Struthio camelus: one gene and its partner. The protein of the gene in region 1 purifies or fractionates together with the protein of each later gene. This does not show direct contact. Links are inferred from orthologs where the notes say so. Each region holds a gene or a part of one and is shown in the gene's direction. Other genes may lie near its edges.

Region 1 (7,787 bases):
TTAGACTTCCGGCGGTCAACGTAGAGAGAGGTACTTGTGCCATCGTGACTGGTGCCTTTCTCTCTCTTCCTCCTGGAGGCTGGCCCAAGGTTGGCTGCCATATTGTATGTGTTGAAGACCATTGATATTTCCTCTGAAAAGAAGAGAAAATGCAGCACAATGTAATCTAAAAATTGAATACAAGCCTCCCTTTAAATCTTCTTGCTTTAGTCCCTTTCATTATTCTAAGCCAGAGGCACACAGTAACGTTTTCTGATGTATAAATCCTTAGCAAAACATTTCTATCTGCATCTTTAATACAAAGTGTCAACACAGCTTTTAAGTATCATGTTCAGATATTGCTATTTACAGCTTTCTACATCTTTTTGAGAAAAAGCCAAAGAAATACACATACCTTGTACTGTCTGAGGGTAGGACTGAGTGATGATAGGAAGAGATTGCTCTTCTGTTGTCTCCTCTTTTGGCTGCGAGTCTCCTCCGTTGTCCTCTGGCTTGACGCATTTCTGCAAGAACTGAGATACTCTCTTGGAGTTTACATCTGCCATTTTGTTCTTTGCAAGAGTTTGGAGGGGGGAAAAATAAGGATCGTTAGAAAAATGGTGGTGGCTATTAAAAGCTATCACCCAGAAGTGGTTGGGGGTTAGAAGCTGGGAAGATAGGGCCAGAAAAGGCTCAGTTTATACATAGTCTTTCTTTAAGTATTTGCTGTCAGACACTGGAAAGTGGACTAGGCGAGACTGTTGCTGTGACAAGGGCCATCATCCTGTACTTCTGACCTAAGCAATTAAAATTGCACAGTTTAATGCACGATCAGACTGCTCTTTTAGTTACGCTAGGGTGGTGATATCATTATCTAAGCCCCTGCGCTGTTTTACAAGGGTCTCATGCAGTAATTAATCATTACCTACACTACCTGTCATCTGTGGGTTTCATAGCATTTTGGTCCTAAAACGTTTCCAGGATTAGGTTCTTTGTTTGAAATCTAGGATCAAACCAGTACAAGACAGGGAAAGCTGTAATGGTAATTTAATTCGGCTTTCTGTATGATCTACTGTGGTAATTCCTGTCCTAGAGGGAATTTCTTTTCCTTAGAAGTATAAGATATTATCTGCCTAGTGCTGAGGTATTTCAGTGAAATGTGGCAGTGTAACAACCGAAGCAAATTGGACAGCGCTGTAAATTAGAAGGATGTAAAGCAACAGTATATATAGTTCAGCGAAAAGGAAACCTCCTCCTTCATACTTCAGTGACCCTGCAGGCTGATTTTCCCCCAATTAGCAAAAGAGAGTCTGTTCTAGCTTCCTATCAGTGATTCATGCACTGAGAAATATGGGTTTCTTAGTCATTCCCTTACCTCCCCTCTTTATTCCTCTCTTCAGAAGTGGAAAGGCAGTGTTCTGGCAGTGTGAGTATGAGAAGAGACGCTCGCACACAGCTGCTTGTTAAGTCTTCTGAGAGCTGGGATCTCCCTCTGCACTGCAGCATTCGGTGCAGAGGGCAGGGGCTACCTGGCACCAGTCTTTAAGACCAGGAAGCCCTTGAAGGCATCATAAACCATAGATTTATATATCTCACAGGCATGGATTTTAGTAAAGAAGGAACTGGTTGTTTCACGTATGAAAAACGCCGCTGCACGCGCTTCTGGCAGGCAAGCTGGAGAGCTGCATGTCGTGAGCTACAGTGCGTTTCTCAGGTGGCTGGGGACACCTGTTCTGTGTTTTACCTCTGGAAGGAGTCGCTCATCTGGCAACGGGCACGACAAAAATCTATGCTAGCAAGGTCGTCCGCTCTGGCAGCGAGAGGTGGAAAGCGGTTTCTGCATGGATTGCACCTGCCTGAGCATGCTTGTCAGGAGACTGTCCTTAAAATTAAATCCTAGCTTAGCTCTCCCTTTGAATTGCCTTGTCATTTCGGGCTGCCTGCTGCAGCCGTTGATTCCTGCCGCCACTTTGTGTAACTCTACGAAGCGTTCGGAGGAGGGGAGGACGCGTCGCATGTGGAAAAGCTGCTGCAACGCCATGGAGAGTCACATCGCGTGGCTGAAGGCAGTGCCGGATGATGGTGGAAATAACCCAGCTGGTGACGTCACATTTAAAACCTCCAGCCGGCCGTAGGTAGCTGCTGTATTCAGGGGAATTCCTGCCTGAAAATTATTCTGCAGGCTCATTTGTTCTGCCAATTAGTGTTTCACCTCCCCTGCACTGAAAAGCTGTCAGCTATAGGCATTGTGTTCAGTACATGGCAAAAAAAAAAAAAAAAAAAAGCATATTGAGGTGCACGGATCGAAAGAAAGCTTAGACAGATGGAGAAACAAGCAGACAGAGGTCGTTTTATACTCACGCCTTTGTTAGCATGGGCGCAACAGGGGCTGGAGGGCTGTTGGCAGTGCGGAGCTGTGCGGGAGAAGGGGAGTGCTACCCTTTCACCTGGAAGTAATTCATTTAGGGCTCCTCTCAAAAGTTCGTGCTGGGAGGAGAAGTGCCGGGAACCGAGATGGATGCGCCGTTGGCAGCGCGGCGGCGAGCGTGCCGGCACACGCGGCAGCCCGGGAGCTCGGGCTTGCTTGCGCGCAGCGAGGGCGTCTCGGTTTGCCTTCGGAAGAGGTCCTTTACCCGCTTAGGGCGGCCAGTTTAAAAAAAAAAAAAACCCGATTAATCGTGATCTGTTGCAAAATTAAGAACCCGTTGTGTTGCTGGATACCCTGCTAACGAGGTACGCAGTTTTAACTGTGTGAGTGCTTAGCCACGAGAACAAGTTTCCGGAGAAGCGGCATATTTTGTGTCACGAGTAGAAGTCTTTCTGGAAAGGCAGCCCAGAACCTGCATCCTAGGGGCAAGACGCAGCCCACAGCTTCGCTCCGTATGTCTCGCAGCCGTATGGTTTTGTGTCCGCTATGGTTAGATAGCACTAAGATACACATTAAACGTGTGGCCTACCAAAGCTGTATGAAAGATTTATTTGGCCCTGAGGGAGAAGAACGTACGTTATTGCGCTCACTAAAGGAAGATAACATTTTGTGTCCTGGGTGAGTCAGACTGGATGAGCTGAGAGTCCCTTTCAGTCTTAAAATCTGTGAGTCTGTAAAATCAAAGCTTGGTCCTAGCTAATTAATAGAGAACATGGGATTTTGCTTAAATGTCTCTTTAAAGGAGTTGGCAGTGGCCCAGAGGGCGCACCATGGGGCAGGGCCCCCCGGGTGGCTGAGCGTCTGTGCTCTCTCCCCCGACTGCAAATGGCTAAAGCTGTGCCTCAGCTTCTGCATCTCTGGAAGGGGTTAATGGTTGTGTCTGGTGAGGTCGCAGCATTTACAAATCTGCTACCGGAGTGGTATTCCTTTAAAAGGAACATAGAGCCTTCCTCCAGCCGCTCAGAGATGCATCAAAACACCTTGGGCGATGACGGCTCCTCAACGCGCGGCTCGCGCACAGCGCCATATGGAACACGTCCGTAAGCTCCAGCCCACCTAAAAATCGGAGACCGCAGCGAGGAGAACGGTGGCGGCAATTATCTCCGGCTGATTTATGGTAGAGCGAGGGAAGGAGCAGCCGCGCAGAGACACGACTTCGTGTCTCGACAGAAAGCCCAAACCGGCGGGCTCTGACCGCCGCCAGGCAGGAGCTCGTCCCTCCTTCGCCGTCTCATGACGAGCCGGTCTGTCGCGGAGTTTCCTTGCGCTTCGCCTGCTCTCGCGGCAAACCAGGATTTCTGTCGTTGCTTAATCCGCCGGAGCCGGCAGCCGCTTGCAACCCCTCTCTTTGATGCTGCGGGGAGATGTACTGGCTCGTGCAAGAGCGCTGGCCGCCCTGCTCTGTCGTCGAGGCCCAAAGCGTCAGTTAAATCGTCCAGGCCCAGGCCTGGGAGGTGCTAAATAATCCTCGGTGAATTCAGTACCGGCAGGAACGCGGGAGCGTGGCTGGCCCCAGAGTTCGTCGGGATGCAAACGCACGAAAAGAGCTGTGCTTTCCCGCGCCGTGACTCTGCCGCCCTGACGCTGGTCTGTCAGTACACCTGAAAAAGGACAAAAATGCTTTTATTTAACGCTGTCAAACCAGGTTCCTGCAGGGACCTCGCGCTCCCGGAGCCTGAGCTCCTGTGCGGCCGGACGCAGCCATGTAGCAACCTGCCAGGGTCGCCCTGCTCCCCCCCCTCCCCGGCTGCCGGGGGACCCCAGGGTCGCAGTGCCCCCCAGCTCCTGCGGGGACGGGGAGACCCCAGTGTTACTGTGACCCCCTCAGCTGCTGGGGAACCCTAAGGTCACTGTGCCCCCCAGCTCCTGGGGGACTCCAAGGTCTCTGTGCCCCCCCCCAGCTCCCAGGGCACCCCAGAGTCACTGTGCCCCCAAAGCCCCTGGAGGACCCCAAGGTCTCTGTGCCCCCCCCCAGCTGCCAGGCGATCCCAGAGTCATTGTGCCCCCCCCAGCTCCTGGGGGACCCCAAGGTCTCTGTACCCCCCCCCATTTCCTGGGGGACTCCAGGGTCACTGTGCCCTCGCAGCTCCTGGGGAACCCCAAGGTCTCTGTGCCCCCCCCCAGCCCTTGGGGGACCCCAGAGCCTCTCTGCCCCCCCCAGCCCCCGGGGGACCCCAGAGCCTCTGTGCCCCCCCCATTTCCTGGAGGACCCCAAGGTGTCTGTGCCCCCCCAGCTCCTGGGGGCCCCCAAGGTCTCTGTGCCCCCCCCGGGCCTGCGCTGCCCGCGCCGCCTCCTCCCCCCGGCCGCCAGGGGGCGCCGCCGCCGGGTTGGCTGCGCGGCCCAGAGGGGGCGCTCGCAGCCGCGCGCGTATCACGTGGGCGCCGCCCGCCAATGCGGCGCGCCGCCGGTGTCACGTGAGGCGGCGGCGGCGGCGTCGGGCAGCGGAGCGGAGTGGGCTGCGAGCGGCCGCCATGGACCAGGCCGGGAAGGAGAAGGAGGCGCTGCAGCTCCTGGCCGAGGCCGACAAGAAGGTGCGCGGCTCCCAGTCCTTCTTCGCCGGGCTCTTCGGGTGAGTGCGCTGCGCCGGGCCTCGGGCCTGCCCCTCCCCCGGGCCCTGGCGGGGTTGGGGGGGGGCTGTGGGGCGAGGGTGGAGGGCACTTGGGGGGGTTGGGGGCTGGGGGGGCTGTGGGGCGAGGGTGGAGGGCACTTGGGGGGGTTGGGGGCTGGGGGGGCTGTGGGGCGAGGGTGGAGGACACTTGGGGGGGTTGGGGGCTGGGGGGGCTGTGGGGCGAGGGTGGAGGACACTTGGGGGGGTTGGGGGCTGGGGGGGCTGTGGGGCGAGGGTGGAGGGCACTTGGGGGGGTTGGGGGCTGGGGGGGCTGTGGGGCGAGGGTGGAGGGCACTTGGTGGGGGTTGGGGGCTGGGGGGGCTGTGGGGCGAGGGTGGAGGGCACTTGGGGGGGTTAGGGGCTGGGGGGGCTATGGGGCGAGGGTGGTGGGCACTTGGGGGGGTTGGGGGCTGGGGGGGCTATGGGGCGAGGGTAGTGGGCACTTGGGGGGTTAGGGGCTGGGGGGGCTATGGGACGAGGGTGGTGGGCACGTGGGGGGTTAGGGGCTGGGGGGTGAGGGTGGTGGGCACGTGGGGGGTTAGGGGCTGGGGGGTGAGGGTGGTGGGCACTTGTGGGGGGTTAGGGGCTGGGGGGTGAGGGTGGTGGGCACTTGTGGGGGGTTAGGGGCTGGGGGGGCTGTGGGGTGAGGGTGGAGGGCACTTGGTGGGGGTTAGGGGCTGGGGGGGCTGTGGGGTGAGGGTGGAGGGCACTTGTGGGGGGTTAGGGGCTGGGGGGGCTATGGGGTGAGGGTGGAGGGCACTTGGTGGGGGTGGGGGGCTGGGGGGCGAGGGTGGTGGGCACTTGGGGGGTTGGGGGCTGGGGGGGCTGTAGGGTGAGGGTGGAGGGCACTTGGGGGGGTTAGGGGCTGGGGGGAGGCTATGGGGTGAGGGTAGTGGGCTGTGGGTGATTTTGGGATGCTATGAGGTGTGTAGTGCTGGGGTGTGGGGAAGGGTGTTGGGGGTGCTATGGGGCAGGGGGGCTATGGGGTGAGAGTGCGGGGCACTGGGGGGTGCTGGTGGGCAGGGAAGGGTGTCAGGTGGTGCTGGGGGGTGAGGGTGCTGGGGGGTGGGGAAGGGGTTTTAGGGGGTGCTATGGGGTGAGGGTGCTGGGCTGCGTGGGGGTGTCGGGGCTGCAGAGTCCTGGGGGTGCCAGAGGCTGTTCCCCACCCAGGGGAGAGAAGAGGGGAGGTGGGCAGTGGTGGAGAACGGGGAGTTTGGGATAAAACTGGGAGCCAAGGCCTCGGGGGACGAGCTCCGTCCCTCGGACCCCTGGGGCGGCCGGCGGCTTGGCCCCAGCGTTGTTCCGAGCCTGAAACGGCCCTAAAGAAGGGGTAAAACAGCAAAGAGAGCCCTGAAACAACAAGCCCAGTGTCCTCTGCAAGGGCTGGGGGAAAGAGGGAGCTTTTTAGCGCTGCTGTGAAGTAAGGAACCTCAGAAACGATGGAGAAATTTAGAGGAAAGGGCCAGGTTACTTAGAAAGGCAGTGCATGTTTCTGAGGGGCTCTTAAAAACTGTTAGATGTTTCTATTGACTGAGTTCCCTGGTGCTCACCCCTAAATGTGTCATAAATTAGTTGCTTTCAGTTTGTGTTTTAAAAACTTTTTTTTTTTTGGATTCTCTTTACCAAATCTTAATTGAGCTTACATTTCTACGCTGGCTTGTTTAGGACTAAGAGTTCTGCTCCTTCCTCCCCGGATCTTATTTATGAAAGACAAATTGCATAAATTTAACTTACCTTTTTGGTCTAATTTGAACGTACCTCTGTAAACAAAGATTGGAAGCTGTTCTGCATTCATACTGGTTGGTTCTGCCCTTGCTCTACCTCCAACTTTGCATGATTGGATCGGTAGGGGAGAAATCAGAGGTGTCCAGTGTTGAAGATTGCAAAATTCAGCTTTACCCAAGTAAATAGTGTTTCATAAGCAAGAACGAGTTCATCCCTTGCCCTTGCAGGGCCCTGATAAGGGGAAGGTTTGTTAGCCTTGTTTTGCAGCTGGGGAGGCTTTCCCAGCAGTCGCGTGGCGGAGTCCCAACACCTGGTTTCTCCAGCTTTTTTGTTGTTGCTCTAAAGTCGCTCTTTGCTTCTGTATAGCATTGAATTTCTTTCAGATCTCGCTGCTTTTACTATTTGAAAGCTTCAAATTAATGGAGAACAGAAAACTAGGGTATTTAAATACTAAAGGATGATGATTTTTAATCGCAGTGTTCTTTCAGTTAAAAGGCTGTTTCACATGCTACTGAAAACTCTGGTAGTTGTATGTTTCTTTGAGCTGTTTTCAGCTCTGAGGGTCTGAAGGCACATCACAAAGCACGTGAAACATGGCTTCAGAAATCTGCGAGATGCTTATCGCATCCTTAGTCAAGTTATTAGTGAACACTAGTGTTTGTGCTGGCCTGTGCGGCCTTCTCGCCTGAAGATAAAAACACTGGGAATGGTGGTGGGTTTTTTTTCCCCCCCCCCTCTCCTTTGAGGCAGAGCAGCTGATTCTGTGATTGGATCTTGTGGTTCCAGAAGAGTCTTGTTCTTCCAGACTGAAAGATAAAACTTTGCTGGGATGGAAAGCACACATTGCCTTGATTTTCCAATTATTTTTTCTAAAAAATAATTTTCCATTATTTTTCTGAGAAAAAAGGGGAAACAAATCTTGTTTGCAGATTAGTGATTCCCCCCCCCCCAACCCTTTTTTTGTGTAAATCATGACTTGCTTAGTAATGTTGATTGCACTAGTAATGTAGATGACTCTATAGGGTGCGGGAGAAATTTTCCTCCTC
Region 2 (7,081 bases), on another chromosome or scaffold:
CCTCTCATCACCTCTTTGAGAGGAGCACTGTCTTTGTACTCCTCCTATCATAATTTTTTTCAGCCTCAAACATAACTATTAACGATTGAGACAAAGTTTTATTAAGAATCAACGTAATGATCCACAATCTGGTACAAATAAGCTACTCCATTTAAATATGTCCGTGATTTATAACAGAACTCATATCAGCTTCTTTCAATAACCTTGTGCTGTTTGGCAAGAGATCTTCAACCAACAGACCCTCATAAGAGTGACAGAAATATCTGTCACTTAGTTTTACACTTATCTCTGCAACACTTGGTTGTATCTTTTTTTCTTCATAGCGTATTTATGCTCATAGCGCCCTTCACAGGTAGGCATAGTAGGTCTCTTTTACAGATTGGAAGCTAAGGAATAGCGACTTAGAAGCCAAATCCAAGCGGCCCACTGCACCGACCCAGCTTATCGCAATACTACAGAAGTAGGTACCTGGCCTTGGTAAGATGATTCAGACTCCCGAAGAAGGGCCTATATGATCTCTAGAGAGTGCATTGCAGAGCATTTAGTCAGTTATTAGGCTTATTCAATTTATGCAGTCGCTACAGAGCAATAAGAACCACTGAAGAGTGATACGAGGTTCTCATATTAAGGCAGTCAGGTCACCTGTAAGTAGATGGAGCTCTCGTGTCAAGTAAAACCAAGTTAAGGATCCCAAACACTGAGCTGGGAATCATTAACAGGCAAGCAATAAGAATACAGGGTCCTGTCTGAATACCTACACCTCTGTAATATAGGTACTTGGTCCCAGGGCTGACTATTCAGGGCTTTATCAACTTGGGATCAAAAAGAAAAATAGCCTAAGAGAAGTAGATGAGGGGGAAAAAATTGCTTACACAAGAAATAAGAACATTTTTATGAAAGAAAGAAGTAAGTTACAATGCATAATATCCTCTTATTTTTCCTATAACCAGTTTGAGTCATGTCACATCTCAAATCTTATGACACCATCTGGTGGCAGAGTTCACAGAAGACACTTATCAGATGTTAAAAAGAATTTCATCAATTTAAACTTGACTCCAAATATCTTATGAATTTTGTCTTTACAAGATGAAGTGAAAGCCCAACGGAAAAAAATGCCTTAATTTTATCTAGATGTTTTGACGAAGTTATCTACAAAACCTAGCATCCTCGTACACAATTTAAACATGTACTTATATGTTAGTGATTGTTATTATTCTTTGCACTGGATATCAGAACCTTGCATATATTAAGATGTATTTTGCTGCCACCTCTTCAAACACTTGACCCCTTTGGAGACATGGGCTAGAAGGTACCTTAACTTTGGTCACAGTGATACAGGTAACAGGCTAACATAGTTTGGCTAAAACCAGTGATTTGTTCTGAACTGAAACTACTGCAATACCATACCTATTCAACAAACTTTACAAACAAAGCTAGTCAGTACTGGTACGTATTGGTGATGTGAATGCAGCTGCCTTTCACTCTTGGCTGAAGCCAAGTAAGAACTAAAAAAATGCAGTTGCCTTTAATAAAAAAGACGGTCTCTTTTCAGGTCAGGATTGGAGTATATTTTCTAAGGTAAAGAAGTTACAAAGTCATATTACATTGGCCCTAAGGATCTGCAACATTCAGCCCAGACACTGCAATACTACTAGGAAGATAATTTCAGAGTTCCAAAAAACTATTAAAGAAGTTGTTAGAAGGCTTAAGTATTTTTAGGAGAGGACCTATCAGTCCAGCAAAGCAATCAGTTACCTCAACACAGTAATTAAAGCTTGATTGAAAGAAGTAGCAAATGAAGGATAGAAACAAGAAGCAGAGGAAGTCTGAGAAAAACAGCCCCAAGAACTCATGTTGAAAACAAAGTCCACCACACCTCAATCCTCTGAGCTCATCTGTTCTACAAATCCCTTTAAAGCCATGCTTGAGTGGAAGGGAAGGAGAAAAGGAAAATTTCTTACTTGCATTAGACAGTTGTTACCAGACCACTAGCAATAAGAATAGAAAAATATAAAACGATATTATATTGTCAAAAAGCAAACCACTCAAAACAAACTTAGCCCTTACAGAGCAGTTGTATAAACTTTAAGCATCAATGCTACTTCCGCTCAACATTCACAAAGTTTTTCCTAGTTGAAGGTCATAAGCCCTCCTGAACAGCTCTTACTGTAACTTAAGTTTGTGTATGAACTACTCTGCTTGCAATAACAAACACTTTTAAACAGCTCATATTTCATTATGTCATGAAGACCCGTATCAGAAACTCCACAGAAGTGGTCTCAGTCTTTTCAGGTTACCAGCCGCATTTATCGCCGCATTCATACACGCTTTCACGAGGATATACTTTTTAGCTTTATAGTGTGAGGAAGGTAACCGAGCAACTCTGAACCCAAAGCTGCGTTTCTGCCTCGGACGCTCTTCTAGCGGGTGCGAAGAGACAACACGACAGCCAACAGTCCGCAGCGGAGAACCTGCTCTGCACTGAACCCGACCACAGAGCTCAGGGGGCCCCGCCGCCGCCGCCGCCACCACCACCCGCGACGGCCGTGCCACAGAGCAAACCCAGGCCAGGCCCGGCCTGGCCCTGTCCGGCCGGGCCGGCGGCCGCTGCGACCCCGCCGCGCCGCCGGCCCCGCTCTCCCCGCACCCCGCCGCCAGGGGGGCCCCGCCGCTCGGCCCCCCGCTCCGCCACTCACACATCGCAGCCCTCGCCAGGGCAGCGGCCCGCCAACCCATCACTCGGCCGGCGCCCCGCAGGCCCCGCCGCCGCCCGCCCCGGGGCCGCCGCCGCTCGCACCGCGCCAGCGCCCGCGCCGGGCCGACCCCGCAGAGACCCGCGGCGCACGGCGGGGCGGGGCAACCCCGCGCCCCAGCCAATCCGCCAGCAGGGAGGCGGCCGCTCTGCATGCCGGGAAGTCCGCCTGCCCCCGCCGCGCTGCCTGCTGGGAAGTGTAGTTCGGGCGGCGGAGCGGTGTTAGAGGAAATACCCGCTTACTTCACTGCGGTAGGATACATGCTTGTCAGTTCGGGACGTTTAGTTACCGATAACAATAGTAATCATCGTTATTATCAGTCAGTATAGTGCCATAAACATGCATAGTTGAACCGTGCTGTAGTGCTGTATGCTACTGCTCGAAAAACCTGCTCCTGAAAATCACACACATAGCAGTAGCAAGAAGCCACAGAAATTGTGCTAGGACCAGCACAGGCTGAGCTAGCCTGACAAATCACCTTCAGGAACAGTCTGAAAGGCTTAAGAACAAGTGCCTGTGCTTGTGGCTGGGCTGCGTAACACACAGTAAACCTCAGTCCAGTGGGACCTCTCAAGAAGCGTAAGCCAAAGGGGGCTCTGGATGCTGTAAGGGAAAGCGAAACAAGGCCCGCCTCTGAGACCACAGAGGTTTCATCCCGAGAGGGCACTTCATTAGCCTTAGAAGAGCAGCGCAGCCCACTCTGTGCCCTGATGGCATTGAGAAGTGCTGATGTTGCCCTGGGTTAACAACATTACAGAAGGTATATGATCTTAACGGCAACCTCAGCACAGAAAAAATCAGTTACACTTCAGGAGGAAAACATACACGGAAAGTCAGCACAGTTCAACTATAAAGCGCAAGACCCACAGCTTCCCCTTGCCGGAGGCCCCTGCCCTCTTTCTCCCTCTAGTTACACAGGAGTGGTTAAGGTCCTTCCTCAGAGTGACGGGTACCTCACTCTCAGAAAAATCTCACTGATTCCAACGGGGCTACCGACATACTACGTCTTTATTTAGCATAGCTGCAACTGGCAAAACCCGGACCCTATCGCACCGGCCACGTACAGCCGTCGCCCACCGGCGGAGCGCCGCGGCGCCTTGGCGCATGCGCAGGAGTCCCGTCAGCCACCTCATGGCGCCATGTTGGGTGCACCCAACCTGCGCGCGCCGCCGGACGTTTCCCACGAGGTGCCGGCGGCCCCGCTATAGGCAGGCGGGCGGGCGGGCGGGCAGGCAGGCGGGCGGCTTCTCTTTCCCGCCATGTCGAGTGTGGCGCGCGGCGCCGCGTCCGCCGGGGGTTGCTGGCTTCCCCTTCCGGGGCGGGGCGGTGGCCAGTGACGCGCGGGGCGGGTGGGCGCTCCGCAGCGGGGGCGGGCGGGCGCTGGGCCGTTAAAGGGGCGGCGAGGGGTGCGGGGCCTGGCTTAAGGGTGGCGACCGTTGCGGGGCGTGCAGCAGCGGTGGCGACGACGACAGGTGCGTGGCGGCGGCGGCAGCAGTAGCAGTAGGCGTGTGTGGTGGCCGCCCCAGCCTGCCGACTCGCCGCTCCGCGCCCCGAGCGGAGCAGCCGGGGCGGCGGCCGCGGGAGTCAGGCTGGCAGGTCGAGTCCCCTTCCGCCTTGCCGTTAACGGCTCGGCCCCGCCGGGGCCGCGGCTGGAAGGGCACCGGTGACGGGGTCGTGGCTGCCCGGGAGGGCCGCTGGTGTGGCGGGGCCTGGGGCTGCGCGCAGCCCCTGCTCCACCCTGGCCTCGCCGTGCCGAGAGGCCCGTGCCGCTGGGGTCCGAGCCCTGCGCTGGGCGGGCGGGGGAGGATCCTGGGCGGCTTTCGGATGTTTCTTCTGTGCTTGACTGAACTGATCCGGTTGTATGTTACCGGAGGCACTCCTCCTGTTATTGCTGTTTTTAAACTCTTATGGTTTCCTGCCTTTAGACACGAGTTGGTAAAATTCTGATAGGTACGAACAATAAGTGTTAGAAGTAACTTGTGGGTCTCTGTTTAACTGTAGATCTCGAAACCTTTAGCCCTCCTAGGAAACTGATAAAGAATAGTCAGCTTTATTTTTCACTCTTCTCTTTTGAAGACTTATCTCGGGCAGAGTGCAATTACTGCTTAACACAAAGGTGTAACACAGCACACAATTCCTCAACCCAGACAAATGGGCTGGGGAAGCTTTGGAACTTCTTTATACAGCTTTCCTAGCTATTTGTGTTCCCTTTTTCTGAGGGCAATAGGCATTCAGGACTCAGAACTAAGTAGCTGAGTTTTCCTTTACTTCTCCCTTCATTTAAAAAAAAAAAAAAAGAAAAAGCTAATTCTCTGCTGCAGGTAGAACAGCTATACAGGAAGGCATTTAGGGGCAAAGGAAAAACCTCCCTGGATGTCAATTGCATGATTCTTTGGTTTGAGCAATGAATTCCTTACTGGCAGTCTGGTAACTAGTCTGTATGCCTTAGCGCCCCGATTCTGCAGGGTTTTTAAGTAGCTGATTGTATAGCTTTTTGCACAGTGTTCTTCGTTAGGCAGACAAAATAGCAGCTGTTACTGTCTGTATGTTGATCTAGAGTTGCTTGTTAACTTGTATTGGCTAATAACTAAACTGGAGGAGGTATCACGAGGCTTTTCCAGCAACAAAAATTGCTTGTTGGAACTAGCATAGAAGAGAACACATAGCATAGAGGAGGTGGTGTTGCTAGCGCCTATTCTTTTGGCTGTCTCCTCTGTGCAGTGTGTTCAGGAAGCTGATAAGAGAAAGCAGGAAGCATGCAGAGTGGTTTCTTGTTCTTGGGTTCTGGCCCCTTCCCCCAGTGTCACAGATGCTTTATTCATTTATCTTGTAGACATAATAGCCTGGAGGAGTACGCTCTGGTGCTGATACCTTGTACCAGCCTGTATTTGCTGGGCTGAATTTCAGCTGCTGAACATAAGTAGCATTTTCTATTTGAATAAGGAAGGTTTTTCAAAAGCAGCTCCTGCATTGGTGATGCAAATGTTTTTGTTTTGTTTTGTACTTTTGTATCAAGTCACCTACTCTGTAAACTGTCTAGTTTTAATCTGTGCAAGAGCACACAACTTTCATAATTTATTTTCAATTTTTTCTAAAAATAGTTCTGTTAATGTTCTTCATCTTTTGGAGAAGGCAACTGCTCACTTTACAGGTGAAGGAACAGAGAGCATCCGTGATCTTCTGAGGCTATACCGGTTCACTGATGGCTAAAATTATAGCTCATGAGATCCTGGCTTTCGTTCTGCTGCTGAGACATCTGGATTGTGTCTTCTTGCACTTCCTATCTTTGTTTATAACACAATTGCCCATAAGACGGCGTAGGCTGAATTTTTCAATCATATTTTTTTTTGCCATATCAGCTGGGGGCTATTTGTTATTTCTTCCCTGGTACTTGTAATAAATATCAATGGAAAGATCTAGCTACCAATTGTAGGTTTTTAAGGATAATACTTTGGTATATTTACTGGTAGATTAGTTTTTTAAAAGTATACAATACAGGAATTACTTTCTGATATATCTGAAATGAGGAGGTAGTCAAATATGGGTACATGTGAATAGAAAGGATTAGATCTTGCGTAATCATGACTTTTTGAAAATGAATAACTTGGGCATGCATGTCTAAAAGTTTTCTGATCAACTATGCCATATTTAGTTCCTGACTACTGAAAACTTTTGACTGGATTTTGAGGAGAAAAACAGCGTGAAGCCTTAAGTGCTCTAGCAAGACTCCATGCTTTGCAGGAGTTGACTCATTTTCATTCACAACTTGGAAATAGCTTTTCTGAGAGAGAAATTCTTCTAGAAGGCAAATTTAATGACCCTTATATTTCCAGCATTAAAAAAAAATGACCTAATCCCCACTTGTAACTCTCACAGCTGTTGTCTTCCATTGCCAAAAGTATTACACTACATTCTTCTAGCTTTAGTTCCTACTCCTAAGAAAATTGGGAACCTCTTGCTTATTATGTGTTTATGGAATAGGCACTAAGGTACAGATTGTTCTTTGTTACTGATGCTAGCAAAATGTCTTTAACTGAAAAAGGAAGAGCTTCAGCCTGCATTTCTAGCTGAGGACTAGTAGTGCAGGAGGAAGGATGAAGGACTGTTTTAGACATCCTGATTGTTTAGGTTCAAATAAGGAGCATCACCAGTTGACAAGGAATTAATTTGGGATATCTGAGAAATGTGATAGGTGTCTCTCACATCTGTGAAAGGCTGTCTGTCAGAGGCACAAAACTGCTGCATGTCAGCCAGAGATGCGAGACTGAAAATCTTGCTGAGTTTGTTAAACTGCAAGTGATCAATACAGTATATTGGTCTAGTGCAGA

The links. The genes of interacting proteins can lie anywhere in the genome.
Region 2: the proteins of NAPA (region 1) and SNAP23 purify together in Homo sapiens (affinity purification with mass spectrometry; 4 studies listed by BioGRID and IntAct, with this or other methods). This does not show direct contact. The link is inferred for Struthio camelus from reciprocal best matches to the Homo sapiens genes NAPA and SNAP23.

The regions. Positions count from the first base shown.
Region 1 is NC_090957.1:884,655-892,441, forward strand, and holds the start of NAPA (alpha-soluble NSF attachment protein), read left to right. Parts: upstream 1-4,771; 5' UTR 4,772-4,879; coding exon 4,880-4,977; intron 4,978-7,787. Other genes in the region: E3 SUMO-protein ligase ZBED1-like, read right to left, coding at 1-133, 395-545. UniProt on the Homo sapiens protein: Required for vesicular transport between the endoplasmic reticulum and the Golgi apparatus. Together with GNA12 promotes CDH5 localization to plasma membrane.
Region 2 is NC_090946.1:42,632,529-42,639,609, forward strand, and holds the start of SNAP23 (synaptosomal-associated protein 23), read left to right. Parts: upstream 1-4,064; 5' UTR 4,065-4,225; intron 4,226-7,081. UniProt on the Homo sapiens protein: Essential component of the high affinity receptor for the general membrane fusion machinery and an important regulator of transport vesicle docking and fusion.